4 linked regions of the Schizosaccharomyces pombe genome follow. Changing the gene in region 1 together with any one later gene gives a genetic interaction. Each region holds a gene or a part of one and is shown in the gene's direction. Other genes may lie near its edges.

Region 1 (6,921 bases):
GTTCTTTGGGGAACTGTTTAGAAAGAAAATGAAGAAGAAACGAATACAAGCAAAACGCTTGTAAATTAACCTTTGAAATGATTAATTGAGTAAAATATGAACATGAAGAGGAATCCAATAAAAAGCTAGTCAATTCCCAATTATGACTAACAAAAACAATGGATCAATAATGTAAAAGAACGATATTAAAAAAAATATTTAATTATTAATTTTTCTCACTTGTCAATTCCTACTCCTGAAGTGAATAAATTAGCAGGTTAAGAATTCGTTCGCCAAGATAGGTGAAAGGAAAGAGAGGATGGAGGTGTGTCAATGTGAAACGAACAAAAGATGGCAAATATTATAAAACGGCTATAGCGTGATATCGTTTGTTAAAATATTAGATTTATTTCAATTCACTATTTTCTAGCTCAATAAGTGCAATTTATCATTACTAAAGGCATGGGTAATATATTACAACAAACGTTGGTAAAAGGAAGATGAGGAATTTAGTCATGTGGTACTCTTTTGTTTATTTTAAAAAGCGTTTTATTTGGTTTAAATTGCAGTTACAGTTTCAATTCTACAGCAAGTTTATGATAAAACTTTTCGAGTAAATGTGATGTGAAATTCAAGGATTTTTTTCTAATCAAATGAGGAGGGGAAGATATCTACTTTAATTTAATAAATCAATTGATTCCATTGCTATCGATACATGGATAATTAATTTGTGGGATTGAGAAGAAATTATGCGAACAAATTATCTAGGCTTAATATTCATGAGTTTCGAGTTTTAAATATGAAGTCAAAATTTGCGCAATTCGAGGTCATCAATGTCATTTTTTTGTGACGATTAGCCGTCAAATATGTTTAACATTGCACCGGCTTCAAATCTTTGCGTTTGATGCATTCACTATTCTATATTTTCACTTCTCTCGATATAGGGAAGAGAAATTTAAGGATTTTGCGTGTGCTAAGTAAGCATGTAAATGGGTTTCTATTCGAAAATGTACGCTTTTTTCAAATTTTTCTACTTTTTCACACCATTAATAGCGGATTACTCTACTTGATGGGTCAAACTGAATATCCTTTATACTATTTTCTAATTTGAAATTAATTGCCTATTACGAACAAAAGCGACGAGTTCTCAATATCATAAAACCTGCCATAAACTTATGTCCATTTACTTGGTTCTTCTGCACAAAAGAAACTTTCATATTCCTTTTTGTCAGTTCTCTTAGGTTTAAAAAAAATGGCAAAGCTACAATCTAAATCTTCGAGCGGCAAAATCATTTATTGAACTTTGAGACGATCTCAACCTAGCTGTTCTTTTTATTTCATCATTTTTGGAAGGTAAAAAATAATTTGAATCTGTTTTTCTAAGAAATGCGTATTAAGTATTAGTCGTGTTGATTTAGTTATTTATATAAACAAAGCAAGATTTCTCTTGCGTTTTTGAATTTGAGCCAATATGTTAAATTTCCTTATTGTCGCCTATTTTTATTAAATACATTTTTAAAGTTAAATTAAATATCAAATTTTGGTACAAGCTTCCAACATGTCACGAATGTTACAATTTTCACATAGTCAAAATTGATTAATTTCGAATATTAATTGCCGGATTTCTTTTAAATCTACATATAATTCATTAATTTAGTAATAGGTATTGCAAAAAAACTTCTCACTTCCGTTCTACAAACAAACTGCTCTTTCTTTATTCCCGATGATTACCGCGGCTCAGGCGCTGACTGAAAAAGTCACAGTGATAATGTTACCAAAGGATGAAAAAACAATGATATTGGATTTACCCTTCTCCAATTTATTGTTTCAACTAGTTTACTAGTTATTTAAAAAGACATTTCGAAAATCTTTCTATTTATGTTAAAATTTCCTAACATTTTTCCTTCCTTTGGGTTCGTATACATATATATATTTTTCTAATGGTATTGCTAACTCGAGATTTGTGATTTATAGAAAAAACTAAGCAAGTTTGAGAAGAGTAAGATAAGGAAACCATTATCATTCTACTTGAATTAATTCTGTTTGAATAAATATCTTTGGCTCTACAAATTGTGGAATATTTTCGTTTCACGCCAAGACAGAATTTACCTTTTAAAAAACGTTAGGTTCACCAATTAGTCTTTTTTTGCTCTACAGTTTTTTTTTTTTTAAACTTTCTTTAGTAATATTTCCTTGGAGGCTAGCATACCTTTTTTTTGGGCTTCTTATTTATTTTATTTCTTTCGTTATTATGCCTGAAGCTTTTGAGCGTTATTCAAGCAACCCAACTTATGAACCCCCATGGCGTAAAGTGCGATTTATTGGAATTGCAGGACCATCGGGTAGTGGGAAAACCTCGGTGGCCCAATTGATTGTAAAGGCGTTAAATCTTCCACATGTTGTTATTTTATCCCTTGACTCGTTTTACAAATCTTTGAATGCAGAGCAGAAGAAGAGAGCATTTAACAACGACTATGACTTTGATTCCCCCGAAGCCATTGATTGGGACTTGCTCTTCGTAAAACTGCTAGAACTTAAACAAGGCCGTAAAGTTGACATTCCTATATATAGCTTCAATGAGCATAATCGGCTTCCTGAGACCAACACGTTATTCGGAGCAAGTATCATTATTCTCGAAGGGATTTTTGCTTTATACGATGAAAAGATTCGCTCTCTCCTTGACGTCTCGGTCTTTCTAGATACAGATTCGGACGTGTGTCTCTCTCGTCGACTGAATCGCGATATCAACTATCGAGGAAGGGACATAGTTGGCGTTTTGGAACAATATAATAAATTTGTCAAGCCAAGTTATGAGAACTTCGTTAGGCGTCAACTATCTTACACTGATCTTATCGTTCCTCGTGGCCGGGACAATAAATTGGCAATTGATATGGTGATTAATTTTATTCGTAGAACACTTTCTATACAAAGTGAAACTCATGTTAAGAACATTGATAGTTTACAGCAAATTGTACCAACCATTCCCCATTTACCCTTAAATTTAGTTCAGCTTAAAATTACGCCTGAAATATCTGCCATCAGGACTATTCTTATAAACAAAAATACACACCCTGATGATTTACAATTTTTTTTGAGCAGAATTGGCACCATGTTGATGAATTTGGCAGGTGATTCGCTTGCATATGAAAAGAAAACGATTACTTTGCATAACGGAAACCAGTGGGAAGGTCTACAAATGGCAAAAGAGCTTTGTGGTGTTTCAGTTTTGCGATCCGGCGGAACTCTTGAAACAGCTTTATGTCGTCAATTTCCAACAGTGTGTTTGGGTAAGATTTTGGTGCAAATCAATAAAGTTACTCAAGAACCAACTTTACATTACCATAAATTGCCCCGTGGCATTGCTACCATGAATGTTGTTTTGATGGCTTCACATTTAACTACACATGCAGATGTCTTAATGGCCACGCAAATTTTAGTGGATTTCGGGGTCCCAGAGGAAAACATTATAATTGTGGTCTATGTTTGTTACTCTGAAAGTATTAAAGCGCTGGCTTATATTTTCCCAAAGGTTACCATTGTTACAGCATTTCTAGAAAGTGTTGCTGAACCCGTAGTCGGTAGATTGGATATCGAAAAAGTGTATTATGGATGCTGATATAACATTTATATGCGTGGATATAAAAAACAAAAGTTTAATGTCTGTTAGGAGTTTAGTGTACATTTTATTAAAGAATTCCCTTTGTTTGGATTATTACTTGCAGAAAACTACGGATAACAGGTGTTTGGTGATATAAATGTCATATTAATTAATTCGTGTAATTTCGTATCGCTCGATTAGAATAGTTCAGAAATTCAAAGTTATAAATAATGAAGTTTGAAATAGTTTAAGTGGAAACGCAGTCAAAATTTTTCCAGGGAAAATAAGAGACGAGACTATCAGGCAAGCAAAAAAAAATAGTAAAAAAATAGCAATACTATGTAACACATGAACCGAAAGACAAATCGTAGCTGAGAGAATCTTTGAATAATCATATATATTAATTAGTTTTGTAAACATTGAATCATTAGTTTAAAAAGTAGCCTCCAAATCTAAAATTGGGTCAACATATACTTTTCCAGATTTCGGACGGAAAATAGGAGTCAGGTTGCCCTTGGAAACGGTCTCCAAAGAGATAGAGCAAAAAAATGGATGTGTTTGAAGTTTCTTGCTGGAGTGACCCAACCTCTTCTTAATGTCCATTTCTAGAAAAGCCATAACAGCTGAACGAGCATCTTTCGAGATAGTAGTTAGCTTTTTATCCCGAGAAATATGAAGAGCAGAAGATAAACGATCTGCTGATGAAGCCTTTTCTTCCTCTGAAGCTCGAATCCAATTGATCAAAAGATGATTGGGAAAAGGTCGCACTTGAAAAAGGCATTCGTAAAATGTTATACCTAAGGACCACCAGTCTGATTCTTTATAAGAAACAGCGTGAATTAATGTCTCAGGAGCCATATATACAGGGGTCCCAACGCGACCAACAGTCATGTTTGATTTAGAAGGAGAAGATGAGGTATGCACTTTAGCTGCAACATTAAAGTCAGCCAACTTGCAATGTCCCTTCTCATCCAACAAAATATTATCTGGCTTTACATCGCGATGAAGCACCCCCTTTGAATGTATATAAATCAAGGCAGATACTAGTTCTACCATCCAAATACGAATGACCGATTCATTGAATTTTCTTTGGGAAATATGGTATCGGAGATCTCCACCAAGCATTAAATCAGTTACTAAGTAAATTTTCGTTTCATCCTCAAACTCAGAGTAAAACTTGCATAGTAGAGGATGGTTCAATGATTGTAATAATAGAACCTCATTTCTTAGCTTCTTGATCTTATGCTCGTCGTGTTTCTTTTTATTGATGCATTTAAGAGCAAACCTTTGCTTAGTTTGACGATGTTTCACGACGAACACTGTACTCCAGCTTCCTTTCCCAATAACATTTCGAATTTTGAACTGAGAAACACTTTCAAAATTGGTGGCATTTGGATCCTCAAAATTTTCTTTGTCGTTTTTAACACTTTTTGAGTTACTATTTCCCATGTATAAAAAACTGCGGAAAGAAAGCACAAAGGTGCAGCAATGTCTATTTGACTTTGGTGGATAGGGACGCTAGCGAACAATTAATTTACATTTAGCATTTCAAAATGAAAACTCACTTTTGACTCAAGCGCTGCGACGCCTTAATTTGAGTAAACGGTCCTGTAGTTCGATAGCTTGACTAGTGTAAAAAAAAAATAAAGAGAGAGAATTCGGTTTTTTTCTTGAAAACGAGTGTTAAAAAATTATTTATTAAATTTGGTTTTGGATAAATCAGAGAATTATGGAGTCTGTAGATTCACCATACCTGTAGTCAGGAGGTACAGAGAACAAAGAAACTTAGCAATTTATGGGTAAACAAAGAATCAGGGAGATGATGCTTCTTCAATAGAGTCGTTTAAATGCAACTTTAAAACTTATCCTTTTGATTGGATAAAATTAAAATTAGCGAAGCTTATGTTATTTCTCAAAACGACCATTGGTTGTAGATAACTCGTTAATAGTAATCTTAAATTAACCCAAGGAAGATAACCACATTTAGTTGGTGAGAGTGAAAAAGCACATTACACGTTTTCTACACTGAATTTCCTTTAAAAACAGAAATTTTCACAAATTTCCTTGTTGTTTTAACTGTTAGTATAATTTTTCTTCCATTTTGGGACAACCTACGTTAAGAGAAACTTCCTTCCCCACAGTGTACAAGAGGTGGCTGAAAACTGCAATGGAAGTACAATGCAGTACGGAGGTTTCTACATAATAAGTTCCCCTAATAAAACACCTACAAAAGAAGCATAGTGACCCTGCTTCTTTTTTCTCCTTCACCTATAATACTGTTGCTTCGTTGAGATCAGTGCTTCTCTCTACAAAAGAATTTCCAAACTTATCGTAATGCGTTGCCAGAGTTAAGGCCTATGTCCAAAGCTTTATTTTAAAATGCTGGAGAGAACAGAAAGTGGAACTTAATATGCATAGTAAATATAAGAATAACAGAAGCAGGATTTTGTAAGTCTAAAGATATTTTTAGGTTTGGATACACTCATTCCTCATAAAAGAAAAAGGAAGGAAAAGGGCGTTGTTCATTTTTTTAAAAGGAATAAAGAACCGTCAAATGATTTTACCGGTTTGTCGCATTAGCCTAATTTGGATATAATTCGAAATTGTATAAAAGGTATCCAATTTTTTCCTGCGTCTTGTAAGTCAATCTCCGATAAATAAGAGATTAATGTGAAAATAATGCCTTCATGAGAAACAACTTATTTCAACCACATCTCATTCTCAGCAATCACAGAGTTCCATTATAGACGTTGATAAAAAAAATAATATAAAGAATAAGTGCAGCAATTACTTCGTCCGGCTTCAATTTGTCCTTTTTACAAAGTCAAAGTTTTCGAATTGTCTTGAAGCAAACAACCCTACACAGATCTGTCTGTCATAGGTAACGCTTAATATCTCTTAGGAAATGAAGTATAACGACTGTGATTTCCAAGCGCTTCATCTTACCTTTTAACGAGATTGGATCAAGAGCCTTGGAATAATTTCGTTTCTCTTAAGTTTAATTCCCATCGTCCATTCGCTGCTCTTTCTGATATATGATTAACGATTTCTTTAAACATCTCGGTGAATACGAGATTTGAACTCCTTCACTATTTCCTTAGAAGCTTAAATCCTCTTTCTAAGAAGTAATTTTTGGCTGGCAACCAAGCAAGTCATGCTCTAAAGTTTTATGATCGTTCAAAAAAATAATCCAACTAACGTCTTTGGCATTTCGTCTAATCAAACCTTGGAAGTCGCTTTTCATCGACAATTTCTTAGCTTAAACTTGACAAATAGATTACATTTTTTCTACAATATTCAAGCATTTCTTTAACATTTTTTGGAACTAGTACTTTCAAGTAGGG
Region 2 (5,915 bases), on another chromosome or scaffold:
ACTAGTAGCAGGTAAGGAATTATCGTTGCTGCAATTAATTTCGCAAAACATCGCAATTTTGTTTGTTTTTTTAGCCTTGCTAACGTAATACAGAAAACGCACGCGATCTCCTTTAATGTCGAAGGGTAAATCCTACGATAGAAAGGGATCTATATCCATGTCTAAAAACTTCAGCCCTGATTGTGAAATACTAGTCACGGAAGACTGTCCAAAGGAATTTGTATGGGGAGTGGAAAAAGTCTTTCAGGAGCGTCGATTGAATATACATACCACTTGTTTGTACCGTGACTCAAACTTACAAGTCATTATTAAAAGCTGTATTATTAACAGCGTTAAATCCATTATCTTGATAAACGCCGGTTTGGCTCACCTAGGGAAGGTGTCGGTTCAAGTGTTTAAAGACGGATCTAGCGATTCAGAAGTCCGTTGTGATGGTACGTTGAATAAAGATATATGTGTTTTGACAGAACTCTAACTTTGTCTTTATAGAATATGCTGCTGTGGACGTGATGGTTGCTGCAAGTATTGTTCACCACGCAAAGACTTCTCTCATGCACTCAGCTGCTTCTAGTACGCCATCGTATAATGGTGAGCGTATTGTGCCTGACGTGCCATCTCCCTGTATATCAACGAATCCTAATCTACCAGCTTTAGTAGGTTCTTTAGATTCTGTTAATCTTCACCATTTATTAGGATTCATTCAAAATACCTATAGCACTACTTCATACATTCCAACTAGAGTTAGTTTTAATCCTAATGATACCGGAGGATCATTTGGAACAATTACATCTCAGTCCCAATTTGTTGTGAATGAGATGCCTAAAAATTATGCTCGTGATAATTACGAAGCATTGCATTCTCAAGAAAGCCGCCAAAGGTCTTCAGTTGCTGGAAACAAGCAACTTCAAAAGATATTAGAGCAGCTCGCAGAGCTCAAGCAACCTGATTTTTGATATCTGACCTTAGAAAAGGTTTATATATATTATTTGTTAACAAGTGTTTTAGGTAGCACTTTGTTAATATGGTTTTGCGATATATATGTCCTTGTCTTCAATATTTATTTCACTTTTTTCTCAGTTATTCTTGAAGCATTTATATGTAAAAACCAACAGACAAGTAATTTTTCTTGCTGCACGGACTATCAACTGTTCATTTGTATTTTTTTCGATGCATACAAAAAATGGTAATAAATCGTTAGGAAGAAAGTTTCGATACTTGATTTTTACTGATTAAGAGATTTAGCGAGTAAAAATTAATAACAACGACATATTTTTATTATTAATTTGATGATCATGAATGTCAAATGTCCTTTTAATATTTTACTACTTAGGTAAACGTGCAGTTTAATTGATCTGATAACAGCGATGCACTGCTACGCAACGCCGACTAGTACGTTGTAAGCTTAGTAAGTAAGTAAGTAGTAACTTTTATATTATAATCTTTTCATTACTAGTAATACAAGTGCCTCCCAATCTGAAGTTGCAATTAAGGAACTTTATTTAAAGTATATTATCAGGTTAATTTTTTTAATTAGAAATAACAACCGCTGGTCGGTCTGAATATCAAGGTGCTTTTAAAGGATTCTCTAAAATAGGAAGTTTTGAAGGATCCTCGTTTTATTTTGTGCCTCCACTTCAAATACGGAGGCAACTACAATTGCTTGAAAGGAAATTATCAAGTTATCAATACTTCTAATAATGTCTTCCTCTCCTCCAGCTTTAAAGAAATTTCGAAAACGCAGCCCAAAATCATGTTTAATTTGTAGGCGCCGCAAGGTCAAATGCGACCGTCAGCAGCCTTGCTCTCGATGTAAAGAAAGGAACGAGGTTTGCACTTACGCAGATGATACCATTGATAAAATGAACGTCGGACCACATCCTAGTCATAGCGAAAATGCTTCTGATTCTGAAACCACACTGGAAGTTTCTCCCGATATTAATCCGAAAAAAAATGAGAAATTTGATTTTTATGGATGGAGATCACTCTTTGAGTTGATTAAATATAGAAAGGATAGCGACATGTGCTCATCTCGACCTTCGTTTTCAATTCAGGCTTACAGTAGCTATAAAGATAATGTGGTTGTTGAGAGTTTGGCGAACCTTTTACCGCCATTTTGCATATCACAGAAAATTGTTAATTTATTTTTTAAAACACTAAATGTTGTCTGTCCTATTTATGATCAAGAGACAGTAGAAAAAAGCTTAAACAACATTGAATCACCAGAATCTTTTTCGTACGAAGATGCCTTCACTTTATTACCAATTATTGCTGCAACTATCCAGCTGAGCGATTTGCCTGATGTTATTCTCAATTTTTATAATTCGGCGGGGATTACTCCATTGGAATCCAGCCGTCTTATAAATTTAAAACTTAACGAGATATCCGAGCAGGAATATAAACATTTATGCTTGCCTGATAAAGAAATAATTCAGATGCTGCTTTTGCGAGCGTATGCAACAAAATTTCGCACAAGAATAAGAGGAGTGAATACTGACTTATGTAGAAGCATTCACGTATCAACCTTAGTAACTCCCCTCTTCCAAGTTACGGAAAAAATAGGAAAAAATACGTCAGATTTGTGGTTTGCTCTCTGTGAAATTGATGGTTTGGAATGTGTATTAAAGTACCGTCCGCCATTCATTCAACACGACACTTATGGTCGTCTCAAGCCGCTTCGTTGTTTTTTTAATGACGATATTAGCTACAATTTTCATCTACTTCTTGGAAGGTTACTTGATTGTGGTGTTTCAATCTATAAATCTGTTCATTCACTCACCGTTAGTAAATTCATTGATAAACTGGAGAGTTATGAATCACAGCTTTCGCTTATTTTGGTAGATATAGAAGCAAAGTTTTATGACCCTTCTAATGAAGATATTCAATTTCGATACATATTTTTGAAAATGGTGTTCTGGACTGCACGTGTGAATTTGTATCAATGTTTTATTACCCTGGATTCAGGGATTTTAGAAGATGAAGAAACTATTATTGGTAATTTGGGTGAAAGTTGTATTCAGTGCGTGAGGCTACTCATATCTCAAATCACTATATTAGAAAAACGAGGCTGGCTTTTGGTAGCGTTGTTGGAGATTATCCACGCCCTCATGTTGGCTGCGTTTTGCCGTGATAAAGGCTTTGAGGTGCCTTCTGACTTAGGTGACATAACATTATATGTACAAGAAAGAATGGTTGATATCGTAACATTTGATGATGGCATGGCTGTCCGATTTGGATATGTTTTAAGATTCATCAACAGTATGTTACACCCAAATGAACCGCCTATGCAAGATGCAGAACCTGAAACCACGGAGGATCCCTCTAAATTATTCGCTGACATTTTTGATTTTACTTCAAATTACTTTATACCGTCCGCCCTTCTTGATCAGTGACCTAAACGAGCACTTTGTAATTTTTTTGTTTGTATGATTGATTAAATTTCGATTAATGTTCCAAAGTGGTTCTAATGTCAAATTTATCTGCTCTTTTAATGACTCTCGTTTTTTAATGTAACTATTTTTGGTTCAATATAGACCATTTAGGAATTAACTTTCTTACTATCCTTCTATAAAGTTGTCTTTCAAATACAATTTTTTCAACAAAACTGCCTTTTCCAAACAGAATATGTTTAACTAAAATATGTGATTTCAAGTAATTAAAAAACGTTTAAAAAGTTTAGTGATATAAAACTCTCGCTAGTACTTTCAAATGAAAATGCATTACGCTGCGCAATGGTTCTATACAGGTTATGGTTGGTAAATTGGATGAATAGATTTTGCAACAATTATCAATTACATGTGTATAACCAAAATATTCTGCCTATTTAGACTGTGTAGTTCAGACTTGGTTAGATTTGGTAATTAGGGAATAATACGCATTTCCAAATTTGTAACATTACTATACCTATTACCTTTGACACTCAGTTACCTGTTCAAAACAACCGCCCCTTTTTCTGTTGCATAGAGAATGAGTTCTTCGTATGTACTGAAGTATAATACTTTTTAAAAAAATAACTAATATGAATAGAAATCCACGGGGAATTCCACCCGCTCAATTTTTTGAGTTCAAAGAGTTATCTATGGAGGAAGCTCAAGGTCATCTCGAAAAGTTCCAAGAAGCAATTGCGTAAGGATATATATGTTATTTCATATTAATATAATGTAATTTAGAAAGTACAAATTCATGGAGACTAGTGTGGTCAGGAGAGTTGCTAGTTTGGATGACAAAATTCCTGACATTCGAAAAACGTTACAGAGTGTTCAGTTCTTGAAAGAGCGACAAGGTGACTCTTTTACTGTTACATATGAACTAAATGACACATTAAATGCAAAAGCAGAAGTAGAAGCTAAAGACAATGTCTACCTTTGGTTAGGTGCAAATGTTATGCTTGAGTATACGGTTGAAGAGGCAGAAGCATTGTTAACGCAGAAGCTGAACTCAGCGGAAGAAACATTGAAAGCATGTAAAGAAGATTTGGAATTTTTGAGAGCTCAAGTCACTACAATGGAAGTGAATACAGCTCGCGTGTATAACTATACAGTTTTGCTTAGGAAAAAAACAAAAATGTAGTTAGTCAAAGCTGCTTAATTTCTTTATAAATGTTTCCAAAATATATTATCATTTTAACACATTTGCTTATCCTTAATGTCTCTTTAGTGTGTGTAACAAATGATAGAAAAAACTATATTATTATAACAATATTCTTATTTTAGAAACGTATAACCAACATTTGTATAAAAACGCTTTACAGAATAAAAAAGGATTACATTAATGCTCCGTTCTGGATTTTCGTGCAAACAAGCAATAAACTAAATGAATAAAACAAGCCTTCTCACACACATTTCAAACCAAATTTAAAATTATGTCAAACGATTTAAATCACAACAAATAAGGAAAATGAAATTCTAAATGTGTTCCTTTCACAACAGTTGACAGTGTAAGAAGCTGGATAAAAGAGTTCTTTATTAACGGAAATGATAAAAAAACGACAAATACCTATACATCACACTGGAAGATACCCGGCCTAATCGCTGTTAAGAGTTTCGAAAAGGAAGTGGAGACCAAAAGCGGTATTAATACCAAAATAGCTTCCTTCAAAATTAGTGATACAAATTAATTTTACAAATTGTAAAGAATGACTCAATGGATGTCAGATTAACAGTTAAAAAACACAATGAACAACATCATTCCAATACCACTATGAATCAAACCGATTCTAGTCAATGTATCATGTAGCTTTTGGAAATATATTCTTAAAGCACGTTGATTTAAGGAAGATGACTTGCATCAAAGATGGAGGAAGTGGTACTGGCAGGACGATCAATCAAATCAGCAGCAGGACTAGGTAACGGCTCAGGTGATGATGAACCCACGGACCATTCATGATCGGTGTTAGCAAGTTCCATATTGTTAAGACCACTCATGAAGGCTACTGCATTAGGGTTTTGAGTAAAAGAATCCCTTCCAAGTAAGTATGGGCTGCCGGTACGAGCCAAGGAGTTGCTGGTTTTTTCGGAAAGACCATGACCGTGGATAACAAACTCGTATTCCCAACGAAGGATTTTACCAGTTTGCAACTGTGGGAGGCGTAGCTTTTGAGCAAAAACGAAGCATATAATAGCTAAACACATACCGCCGACCAAATCTACAAAGTAGTGGTGGGTAAGGTACATAGTACACCAGCAAAGCCATAGAACATATCCATAAAAGCAGAAGCGGTATCGAGGAAACACATGCGAAAGGAAAAGTGCTTCCAGCATGGCCCATCCAGCGTGAAGAGATGGAAAGGCACCAAAAACAACCGGAGAGTTAGAAAAACCATCAGTGTAAATGCTAGTGCCGAAGAGAGCATCAATACGGGCCAATCCACCAGGAGAGCCACGTACTGCATACGTGGCAGGTTCTAAACCATACATATT
Region 3 (6,129 bases), on another chromosome or scaffold:
ACTCCAAAGGTATAAGTCATGACACACCAAGTTATCTAACAGCAAACTGATCAGCTTACGAAATAATCAACTCAATATATTTTTCAAAAAAAAATTGAGCTTACAAATAGTTCTGGATATTCTCTTGACCAGCGAACCAGGCGGTTCGACATAATTGAGCGCATAATTGACATGATGGTTCCAAAAATAAAAAGTTCTTGTTCGCTTGAATAGTTTGATTAATTGTTTCGAGATGGAAAGGATCTAAAATCCTTTTATGATTGTAAATGTCAAAATGAAATACGTAGGCGAACATTCGCAACATTTATGACAAGCATCAATATTTATGGGGATCGCCACCTGACGCAGACAAGACGTAGCAACGGTGCGCATTAAGAGATTCAAATTTGAATGGATAATAATATCATAATAATCACCAACTCCTTCTACTAAAGTGGTGAAAGAAGCAACTTTCCAATATTTCTAGATTTTCCAGCGTTTGCAATCGGGATCGAACCGCCCTTGTATTTATATTGCTTTATACAGTTTTATAATACTTTTCAGATACTACCTCTACCCTTGTATTATACTATAGAATTTGTTAGGACACTTATTTACTAAACTTTTCCTAAGATTATATTTGTAAATAATAAGAAGAGAACACTAAAAAACTTCGCAAACAAATAAAAATGGTTCGTACCATTATAAATAAATATAGTCATTTTTCAAAATTTAGCTGCCATGAGGTTAGTAACTTAATAGTAGTTGCTGACCGCAAATGTTTCTCCAGTAAAGTAGGTCCAATGTACAAGTACGTTTAAAAGCGTCATTGAGATTTTCTAAGGAATAAGAATTTAATTCATTTCCCTTTAAAACAGGAAATAAAACCAAAGGACCGCTTGGAGTCATGCATATTGAGGAATAACAATCTAATTCGATAATCTTGTGAACTACATTTCCACTAAATACAGTGAATGAAGCCAGGATGGTTTTTCTTAGATGTAGATTAGTAATAATTTTTCTTCAAAATTTCATCCATAACTGACCATATACCGTGTTTCTTGAGTTATTTGTTTACAAGCCATAGAGGTTATTGGGTTATTTCGGGGCTAGTGAAAGTATAGAGATGATCCTTTAAATTAGCCCTTTCATTAATAGCTTCGCGATAATCATAATTTCAATAGTTGCAACACTCTAATAAACTTTTAAGATCTTTTTTCGTTGCTTCCGTACCTTCATTTCTAATATTTTCTCAATTACACCCTCCCATTATTTTCCTGCTAGTTATTTAGCCATTTTAAAAAAAAAAAAAAAAAAAAAAAACATAATACACAAGATGAAAATGGTTTACTAGCTAGTCTACTTCCCATGATATTGGTCTTTTATCTTAGTCTTTGGAGTCTTTATCGAGTCATATATTACTAATTTTTCCATATATTATCCACTTTCTTTACAAACCCGAAATTGCACGGATAGTATAATTTATTAAACTTGATTTTTCTAACTTTGAGCCCTGAATTGTTGTACTGACAGGATGTTCCAATTACAGTATCGATGAAATATATTTAAATAAAAAGTTTGAAAAATATAAATACTAATATATTGGCACTCTTAAATAATTTTTTTTACATTTTATTCGTAAAAAAAAAATAAGTACTTTATTTATTATTATTAATTTTATTTCTTCGGTTAGTATTTTTTTTTTTAGCATTTCATTTCATATTCTGTTTTTATTTCCCTTCTCTTTTTAATACACTCTCATCGATTAAATAGGCGCCATTCCAAATATTAGTTATTAGAGTCACATTCTCTAATTGTTTATTTATTTTGATTTCTTTATTTGCTTAGTAAACAAACTTTGGCGGATGCTAATATTTACTTCACCCTCCATCGCAAAAGGGGTTCATATCCTTACCGACAACAAAACTACAAGATATAATACCAGGTGTAAAAATAGCTGTTTCTTTGCCATGTTTGTTGTTTAGAGAATATAATCATGAGCTATGAGAAACACAGTGATGCTAAGGCATCCCGCTACGCGTGGAATCAGCCATGGAATCCATTTGAGGTGACTTTGTCTGATCCAACGTATCCCATGAATTTGGAAGAAAAGAACCAAATTCCTTATAGATTTCAATCCGTTCCTGATGATGTTCCGGAAGTACCGCATATTGAAAGCCGATATAAGAATTTACCAGGAAACAATATCTATTTATGTTGTGGTCGATTGCAAATGTCATCTCAGTACAAAGCTTTCCTCATTAGCTTGTTTGCCTTGATTCTTCCAGGAGTCCTTTTCTTCATCTTTTCTGCTTTTTGGCTCTGGCATCATGTCTCTCCCGCTGTCCCTATTACCTTTGCTTACCTGTATGCCTTAGCCGTTGTTTCCATGTTCAAGTGCTCGACTGCTGATCCAGGAATTCTTCCTAGAAATGCATATTCTTTAACTTATAACCCTGCCCATCCCTGGTCTGTAATTCCTGAAGACCGTAAAGTCCTTGTTGGATCCACTCGGTCTGACTCTGTCTTTGTTAATACAGTTTATTGCCATACGTGCCACTTATATCGTCCTCCACGTGCAAGCCATTGTCATTTATGTGATAATTGTGTTGAATACCTTGATCATCACTGCATTTGGTTAAACACTTGCATTGGTCGTCGAAACTACAGATATTATTTTATTTTTTTGTTATCTGTCGTTCTTTCAGCTTTGTATCTAACTGGATTGGGGTTCTATACTTCTATAGGAAGTTTTCATGAATCCACAGATACAAATTTTGCGGCGCATCTTCGTCGTCCATGGGCTGGCGTATCTTTCTTCCTTGGCATTTATGGGGCACTTGGAGCAATACTTCCTGGCATCCTTTTCTGTTACCAGTGCTATTTAATATCTGTTGGTCAGAATGTTCATGAATACTTACGAGCAAAGAGTACAGAAACTGAAGATGTACATCCTTTTCATGACAGCATATGGCTCAATTTTCTGGTTGTCCTTTGTCGTCCTAAAAATGTGAGTTACGTTCGTCCCACTAGGAAGTCTTACGTGTAATATGCCTTGGCTTCACAAAGAAAATAAGAAATAAAAATTTTTTATTTGCTAGACAATAATGCTCAAATCGCTCACGCATATATGCTACACTCTTTCATCTTCCCCTTACCAATTTACTTTTCAGTACCGAAATTAATTTGGTTTTAATAACCGGAATAAAAAAGATTACTCCCCTCTTCAAAATTTTTACCTGGATAATGTTTTGTTCTTTTTTTTCATCCTTGTCGTCGACCCCTTCAGCTCGCCCTTTGTACTTTACAGAGAACAATGTACAGAAACAAATGTTTATAAAACTATTCCTTGTTCTCACCAATCTCTGGAATTATTAATATTTAATTTGGCTGCTCTCTTTTATTTTTAAAGTAATGCTGCTTGTTTTTATGACTTATATGATAGATAGATGGTTTTACCTCCTTTAGCTAAACCCCTTTCCAGTCTAATTTATTGGGATTTGCTCTTTATTGTTCTTTTTTATTATTATGATTGCCTTTTAGGCAAATCAATGTTCCATAGGTAGATAGTTTTTCTTTTTTTAATGAAATAGCTTATCCACATTTAGAGGATAGTTTTCTGGAAAATAATTTGGTATTAGACTTCTTTAATTTGATACTTGAAACTTCTATAATATTAGAACTAGCTTTGCATTACTGACCGGCTTGTTCATTCTTACTCTGGTTCATGTTGCTCCGTTCCCAGGCTTGTGTTTTCCATTCACCCTCTACAACCATTCGGAAAGCTGGTTACTGTAGTTAGGCTATAAAACTAATGACAAACGGCTCTTAAACCTAATGTCTTCTTTACACGAGCATTTACGCCCCATTCCTGAGCCTTTTTCTTTAACTTTGCTACTGGGAACAAGAGAAACACCTGTCACATTTCTGTTCCATTATTATTTATACCATGCGTTGAAAGCAAAGGAAAGTACTTGTTTTTTAACATTCAGTAAAACCTTAGATGAGCATGCAATTAGTATGCGTAAATGGGTATGTAAAAAGAGGGATTACGATTGCATAAGTGGTTGAATGATAAACTATTCGTATGACTAACCTACTGAACCAATATTAGGGAATGGATATTAAAACGAAAAAAAATTTCTTCTTTATCGATGGCTTCAGCATGCTATTTGCTCCTATTTCCAAGCCTTCGAAGGTACAAGCACCAGAAACCAAAAATCACATCAAATCTGTTTTCGCGCCTGTGATCCAATGTGTGGAGGAAAACGATTTTGAATTTGAAAACTCCACGATCATCATAGAAGATATTGATATTTTACAAAGTACTCATGCTCTCGATTCCACAAAGATTCAGCAGGCAATTTTGGAATTACGAAAATGTTTCAGTAGAGTCATTGTAAACGTGACTTTGGGAGCTCCGTTACCACAACAAAAGTCTTTAGGCTCTTCAATCGGACACATGGCAACTAGATGTATTTCCTGTCGGCCTTTGACTAGCGGTAGCGCTCGACGAATCACCGGATTCCTGCGTCTTTCTCGAATGCCAAATCACTTTCGTAGTGGAATATGCGAGACCCCGGAGGATGATGACAAGGAGCTTTTATACGAGGTAACGGAAGCAGGTGCTAAGGTATATTCCAAAGGGCAGGTGACGCTGCAACTCTAAATTCCTACTTCATCTACTTTTTCTCAATTATCTGCTGCTGCAGTCTCTTCGTCTCCCTTCTTTTCCACTTGTACATTATCTTGCACCCACCGTTTTACTAAAAATGTTCGTTGAGGCCTGGATTCATCTCCTTCTTCATTATCCTCATCATCTTCATTAGAATATGTATCTACAACAACAGGAACCCATTCTCTGCTCCAATGCACTGCTGTTTTTTCATTTTGTTGAGGTTCCACACTTTCTGAAGTCCTATTCATTGTATATTTGTAGAGTTGCGAGTATCACAAGGTGCGCGCGAATTGGTATAGGTGTAGGTTTACAAGGAAGAACAAGACGCTCTCTGCACAGTGTGCATTGATTTGTGAATTTGGAATTAACGAACTAGGTTTGGTTATTTTTTTATTTAAAATAGTGCTTTTTTAATTTAAAAAAAATTGATCGAGCCAGTTTGGTATTCATTGAAGGTTGTAGGGTAAATCGTTGTCATACAAATTTTTTATCGCATTTTTTGGAATAACTACTGGGTTGGGTAATATTTTGAAACATCTTTCATACATATAGAAGACCGTGCTACGAAATTGTTAGGAGATATGAGTGGTATATCAAAATTAAGTGATTTTTGGGTTGAAAAATATAAAAAGGAGTCGAAAAAGTCTTGGGATAAGTTTTACAAGCGAAATGAAACAAGGTTTTTCAAAGATAGACACTGGCTTGATCGTGAATTCGATTGTTATTTTGGATTGCCCGATAAGTTGCCATTGACTATCCTTGAAGTCGGATGCGGTGTTGGAAACCTCGTCTATCCTCTGCTAGAAGTGCAACCAAATTTGAAGATATACTGCTGTGATTTTAGTCCTCGTGCTATAGATTTTGTGAAGGTAAGGAGAGCTACTAAATTTATGCCAATTTGCTCTGAAATATTTAATTTACTAACCTTTGTCTTAATTTAGAAGCATTCCTGTTATAACGAAAATAGAGTTTTTCCTTTTGTTAATGATATAACCGAAGATTCTTTGCTTGAAGTTTTGGGTTCTGCTTGCATTGATACATTAACTGCCATCTTTGTATTATCTGCCATTCCACGCGAGAAGCAGCTTCGTTCTATTAAGAACTTGGCTTCAGTCATAAAGCCAGGAGGGCATTTGGTGTTTCGTGATTACTGTGATGGCGATTTTGCTCAAGAGAAATTCATGACAAGCGGTGACCCATCTATGATTGATGAACAGACGTTCGTTAGACAGGATGGAACTTTATCACTTTTTTTTCGAGAAGAAGATATTGCTGAATGGATGAAAAGCGCCGGGTTTGGCTTAGTAACATTAGATCGAGTTAATCGCACCGTTGACAACCGAAAGCGTAACTTAAATATGAAGCGTACGTTTTTACAAGGAGTTTGGAAAAAGCTGTGAATACTTTGGTAGAAAAAGTTTCTTTGTTTGCGTATTTTTTATTCTTTTATATAGGGCTTTTAATGTAATCCG
Region 4 (5,669 bases), on another chromosome or scaffold:
AAGAATTAGGAAAACCTAACAGCTGTGAGACAGTAATAATTAATATTAGAAATCATGCACACATCTCAAGGAAACTGATTAACCTTGGATTGTCGTTAAAAAAATAAAGACTTTGATCGTTTTCTTGAGTATATACACAACGGATAAATTAGTTCAGCCATTTGCGAACAATTTCGAAACTGAGGAAGGTAACCGAACTGGCAGGTATGGTGCGTATAAAATTTGTTGCCATGCCAGAGTAATATTTTCTCCAACCCTCTGAACGCCATATGTCTCGAATAAGTAAGGTAGCCGAGTTGTGTGTAGGTGCATCCAAACTCTGCAACCGAGTTCTCAAAACTTCATGAGGATAAGTGACGGTAGAAGCTGCGATTTTAGACAAAGTAGCTGCTAACACTATATGAAAGTTGCTTTTTTTACCAAAAAAATCATCCAAAAATGATTTAAAATATTCGTACAGTGGAAATTGGATGCCAACATGCAATGTACCAAATAAAGAGGGGAAAAGACCTCGGTAAAATGCTGCAAGGCCTTCGTATTTATAAATTTTTCGAAATGCGTCAAATGTGTTGTTGTATGCAGGTGAACATGCAGGGCCTGTGGGAGGATTCACTGGATGCTGTGATGGAGAAGATTTGACATTCGTCCTACGCTTGAGCCAAAAGCGAGGCATTCTCCATTTGACGGATGGTGCGTCCGTTTGAAGATTACGAAACTGGACGGTTGTAGCCGCAGCAATTTTATCTACAAAAGAAGAAGCCCTAGGATGTGATTGAGTGACTAACCTTGTTTTTACAACCCAAATGGGGTTAGTAAGAGTGACACTTGCAGCACCGGCGATAACCGCAGAAAAGATTTGACCACCCCAGTAACGATAAAATTGTTTGTCAGAACTATCTAAGGAAGCCTTGATGCCAACCTTGGACGAATCAATTTCGTGGAGAGAAGTGTATTTTTTATTTACCCCAAATAGCACTTTGCATTTTTCATAGACTACAAAATAAATGGACCAACTAGGAAGATAACCTAACATCATGGGTCCAACACCTCTATAAAGACCGGCGATGCCTTCATTGTGAAAAATTGTTCGCATCGAACTGAGGGTCCCACCCAAAACCATTGTATTTTTTCCACCACCAGTTGAATAAAAAGCCTTTTGTGCCTGCTTTCTTGTTTTTACTACATCTAAAGGTGCCACTACAAGAGAAGAGGCCAATCCAGCAGCTCCTCCTGCTATAGCATCCTTTAGAGAATCATCAACCATAAAGACGGATCAATTTCCTGATGATAATGCATGCATCTAAAGAAAACAGCAATTAAATAATAGACCTTGACAAATTCTTTACTTTTTTAGACGCTGATAAGAACGATCCAACGCCTTACGATGTTTCAAATTGGAAATGTATATATATTTTAGCGTTGATGTAAGAAGCTGTACAACAACATATATGTAAGTAAAGTGTTTGGCAGCCGTCAATAAGAAAGTCGAATCACTGTGCGGTAAACCACATTAACGACATGAATGTCTCCGAATTACTAATTGAGAGGACGTTCCATGCCCTTAAAAGAGAATTTCTTTTATATGTGCATATCAGATATGATTAAAGTCGTAATGCCCATTAACAATATATAATGGTGACATTGATGTTGCTAACAGCTTTACACACATATCTCAATTTTACTTCACAGATCAGTTGGCTTTATAAGCACCATTGGAACAGTGCTTTTGCTTTTGCTTTTGCTCGTATAAGTATTAAGAGGAAATTACTAATATAAAACCTTAGTTTTTCATTTTTTTCCAAGTCCAAACATATTGTTTTTATACATTAGCTTCTCTTGATTACCGCCAATTTCTAGTCGAAAAAATTATTTTTTTAAGAAATCCTACATTTGCTGAGAAGAAATGTTGAAAACGTAGTAACTACACAGTGTACCACTATATTGTTGGATAACTTTGTAAACTCCAACGTACTGTTTTGTCATACTCTTATTGTCAACTTTAGAAGCAAGATGTAGAATTAATATACTTGTAAATAACTGAAACACCATTTTTGTCGAGACTTAACTTCAAATATATTGACAGGTGATTGCCTCTATTGCCCTCATTGGAATAGTGCGTTGAACAATCAGACTGTAGCCAGGCTTATGGGACAATAATTCCTTCTTCAATTACTTATTGCTTTAGCAAAGATAAAGTGATTAAATTGGCTAACCGTGACAATAATGAGCTTTAAGTCTCAATTACTTATCCTTGCTCAGAAGCTGTCGAAAGGTGGTATTTCTTGTGAGTTGATTGAGTTTGATGAGTGTATTTTGAAGTTAGAATGGCATACTGAGCTACTTGATAAAAATGATTCCTTATTATACGAGCAGGAAGAAGATGATATTTTAAGCCTTATGAATCCAATGATCACTATGCACGCCTGGATTAGGGATTCTCCATCCTTCGAAGTCCCGCAGTTCTTCTTTCAACCTTATGCAAACGGATCAGATCCTCTTACCAAGATGGAACAGATTTTTGAGTTATTAGAAGGATCCAGTCAAAATTTAGCATATGACGCTCTTGCTATTGGGGACTGTCCAGGTACAGTAGGCATAGCATGGTATATCCATCCATGTCGTACGCGTGATTATTTCGAAATGCTTCAGATAGACAAAGAGGATCCCAAGTATCTCTCTCTTTGGTTGCTATATATTCATCAAGTCCTTTCTCCGCTAACTCAGCCTATAATAAAAGCAGTTGACGATGCCGAAAAATCCTAAAGATAACCTGTTATAAACGGGTATGCTTGCTAAGACTTTGTCTTATTAAATATTATTCCCCATGATTAAAACTAAATTAAAAGTCAATTTAATCCGTATTCTCTGGTTTTAGTTTATAATACCCTGTGAATCTATAGTAAAATTTTGACCTGTTATTTGACAGCAAAAACATTACGGATCTGAAGACCTCAATTGTAGAAAATAGCTTTTGTTCTTTAAATTTGTAGATAAAATACTATACTAATTAATAATCCTTCTGTTTTGACATATCATTCAACTGTTCCACTTAAACCTCTACTTGACCGCATTGATCTCTACACCAACAATTGTTTGTTAAGACAAACGAAACCGGGTTATATACTATTCCTCCTAACACACCTTAGCAACAAATATGGAACAAGTTCCTGTTCTAGCAGAAGATCAAAGGAATTTAAATGAATTTTCAGTGTTGCATTCTCGAAAGGCCATTCAAGAACTTGATATTAAGAATTTAAAAACGCAAATAGAGGATATTGTTGACGCTAAAAATGAATGTGAATTACTAGACGAGGATGATGGAGACGATATTCCAGCTTTAAAGGTTGGCGATGCCTTTTTCCAAGTTTCCCTTCCTGTACTCCTTGACCAGCTTGAGCAGTCAGAAGAAAGTTTGGAAAAGCAAGTCGACGTATTAAGATCTTCCATGGAAAAAGACGAAACCCGCATTCAAGAGTTGAAATCAATGCTGTACTCTAAATTTCACGATCAAATTAACCTAGACTAAGATTTGGAAAAAGCAGCAAATCTCAAAATTAGAAGCTTCATCTTATTTTTCTGAATTAGTTTCTTTAATTAAATAACATTTCATGCATTTAAATTTATTCACAATACCAAATCTGTATGCAATTAGCGCCTCCAATAAGTAAACTTCTTTGTTCACCCTAAGCCATTACAAGTATCCAACCACCACTATGGCACATGAGATTGAAATTGACTCGGAAGCTGACCTAGGTCGTACAACATTTGAGGCTGAAGACCTTTATAAGCAGAGAACTCCCATTACAAAGCCTCCGGCCCCTAGATTACAATCTCGTCGCGCATCCATGCAAGAGACGCCATGGACCATCAAAGATTCATTTAACGTGGAAACTAAAGATGTGGTTCAACGATGTATACATACTCTTATTCCCACTGTAAATTTCTTTGATGTTGTAGATGATCGTCCCGATTTATACGGTCCTTTTTGGATAACCACTACGGTTATACAGGCTCTATTCTTTTCCAACTCAATTACCGAATACGCTCGTTATGCCACAGGGCATGGTACAAGTGGCTATTCTATAAAAAAGTTGATCTCTGCAGCATCAATTATTTATGGTTACACTACCATTATCGCCGTTTTGTTATGGGGTATCCTAGTGTGGAACAAATGCAACCCTAAGTTACTCGACTGTCTGTGTTTATATGGATATGCTAACATTGTTTGGCTTCCCGTTTCTTTAGCAACTCCTCCGTTTGGATTGCTATCTACTTTGGCCTCCCATATTGTCAAATATGTACTTACAGGGATTGGTTTGTTAATTTCCATTGTGTTTTTAACTAGAAATTTATATCCTATCTGTCAGCAAGCCGGATCAAATTTGTGCAAACTTTTATTGTTCGGAATTATCGTCTTTCACTGTTTGCTCGCTTTGTCTCTTCAACTCATATTCTTCAGTTAATATCCTAATTTGTGAGGAGTTTCTTTTATCAGTCGCATTGCTTCATTCGAAAATTATACTATTCCCCTTCTTTCATTCTTTAGAAAAGTCATTCAGCATTTAAGATCCTATTGAGTCTAAGTGTTGGTATACTCTATATGATTCAGTTTATACATATATTCGCTTTACATTTGATTTTCTACTCTTTTTACTATAGCTACTAATGTTCCCTCAATTTACTAGGTTTTTTTTTCAGGTGCAAAATACGTATAAATAATCATTTCTTATGCATTGATGAATCATGCCTTAGTAAAAATAATTGTAGCCTTTTTAGTGAACCAAAGACTTTATGACATTTAGTCATATTTTTGCAATCGATCTCCCGTCATTTATATAGAAAACTTAACACATTATTACTCGTTGTTCAACAAAAAAGAGCTGAAGGTAAATTAATGGTGAAGCTTAACCTGAAAAGTACTTTTACGATTTCAAATTCAGATTTTTTTCAACAAGAGAAAAAAACTTTGTGAGATATTGAAAAAACGTTGAAATTTACGATGCATCACCACAATTTCAAGATTAAAAAGGAACACGTAAAAAGAGAAAAAGAAAAATACTGTGGATAGCAAAGTACATATGTATCGATTCACGGCATACATGAAGGGAGATAAACAAAGCACCCTTTTATCATTAGTCCTAAAAACTTTATTTCTGTCATTAATGGTTAAAATGGTGTGTGTATATAAGAATACAATCTGAAAGAAGAAGGTAAGAAAACTCTTATTCCCGGAAGTTCAATAAAAAAGGAACTATGTTCAGTCTATCCGTAGATCATAAAAACAAACCAAACTCCACATAAGGACATTAGAGCTTAGAGAAAACAAAAAGCTATTGAAACATTAGTAAACAAAAAGTTGATAAGCAAACGTACATTATTAGTAGCGGCGATGGCAACTGAGTCTTCAAAGGGATGCCAACTGGCATGTAATATCTTCTTATTGTAATCCAGGTTATCAGGATCAAGGCCAACAGAAGCAGATCCCATCGCAGCTTGAGGTTGTGACCGCCAATCATTATTTTTCACAGCATTCAACTTTGGAACGTTATTTGCAGCAGATTTTCTGGCTCTAAATGCAGCCTTGTCGGCTTGCAAAACTATCTGTCCTCTATCGCCAGGCAAAGAACTATCTGTGGGGTAAATCCCAAAGTTGTTGCTATAACTTCCTG

Evidence for each region.
Region 2: mutations in urk1 (region 1) and pfd3 together harm fitness less than expected from each alone (positive genetic interaction), as found in Schizosaccharomyces pombe (2 studies listed by BioGRID).
Region 3: mutations in urk1 (region 1) and elp6 together harm fitness less than expected from each alone (positive genetic interaction), as found in Schizosaccharomyces pombe (2 studies listed by BioGRID).
Region 4: mutations in urk1 (region 1) and pfd4 together harm fitness less than expected from each alone (positive genetic interaction), as found in Schizosaccharomyces pombe (2 studies listed by BioGRID).

The regions. Positions count from the first base shown.
Region 1 is NC_003421.2:1,554,215-1,561,135, forward strand, and holds urk1 (uridine kinase/uracil phosphoribosyltransferase), read left to right. Parts: upstream 1-1,784; 5' UTR 1,785-1,892; intron 1,893-1,953; 5' UTR 1,954-2,230; coding exon 2,231-3,595; 3' UTR 3,596-3,699; downstream 3,700-6,921. Other genes in the region: serine/threonine protein kinase Ppk33, read right to left, coding at 4,010-5,026.
Region 2 is NC_003424.3:599,534-605,448, reverse strand, and holds pfd3 (prefoldin subunit Pfd3), read left to right. Parts: upstream 1-3,930; 5' UTR 3,931-3,963; coding exon 3,964-3,974; exon of another isoform or gene 3,975-4,023; coding exon 4,024-4,122; intron 4,123-4,166; coding exon 4,167-4,566; 3' UTR 4,567-4,623; downstream 4,624-5,915. Other genes in the region: poly(A)-binding protein Nab3, read left to right, coding at 1-11, 94-434, 490-953; SPOM_SPAC3H8.08C (transcription factor), read left to right, coding at 1,698-3,389; inositol phosphorylceramide synthase Aur1, read right to left, coding at 5,265-5,915.
Region 3 is NC_003423.3:1,863,296-1,869,424, reverse strand, and holds elp6 (elongator complex subunit Elp6), read left to right. Parts: upstream 1-3,741; 5' UTR 3,742-3,816; coding exon 3,817-4,011; intron 4,012-4,093; coding exon 4,094-4,648; downstream 4,649-6,129. Other genes in the region: SPOM_SPBC3H7.08C (uncharacterized protein), read right to left, coding at 1-35, 105-173; palmitoyltransferase Erf2, read left to right, coding at 1,976-3,028; protein tam8, read right to left, coding at 4,672-4,905; trm141 (actin binding methyltransferase), read left to right, coding at 5,239-5,526, 5,599-6,057. UniProt on the Schizosaccharomyces pombe protein: Component of the elongator complex which is required for multiple tRNA modifications, including mcm5U (5-methoxycarbonylmethyl uridine), mcm5s2U (5-methoxycarbonylmethyl-2-thiouridine), and ncm5U (5-carbamoylmethyl uridine).
Region 4 is NC_003424.3:502,830-508,498, forward strand, and holds pfd4 (prefoldin subunit 4), read left to right. Parts: upstream 1-3,079; 5' UTR 3,080-3,154; coding exon 3,155-3,526; downstream 3,527-5,669. Other genes in the region: yea6 (NAD+ transporter), read right to left, coding at 149-1,264; atg10 (autophagy C terminal domain family protein), read left to right, coding at 2,224-2,763; yip5 (Rab GTPase-binding protein), read left to right, coding at 3,714-4,463; serine/threonine protein phosphatase PP2A regulatory subunit B-55 Pab1, read right to left, coding at 5,307-5,330, 5,374-5,669.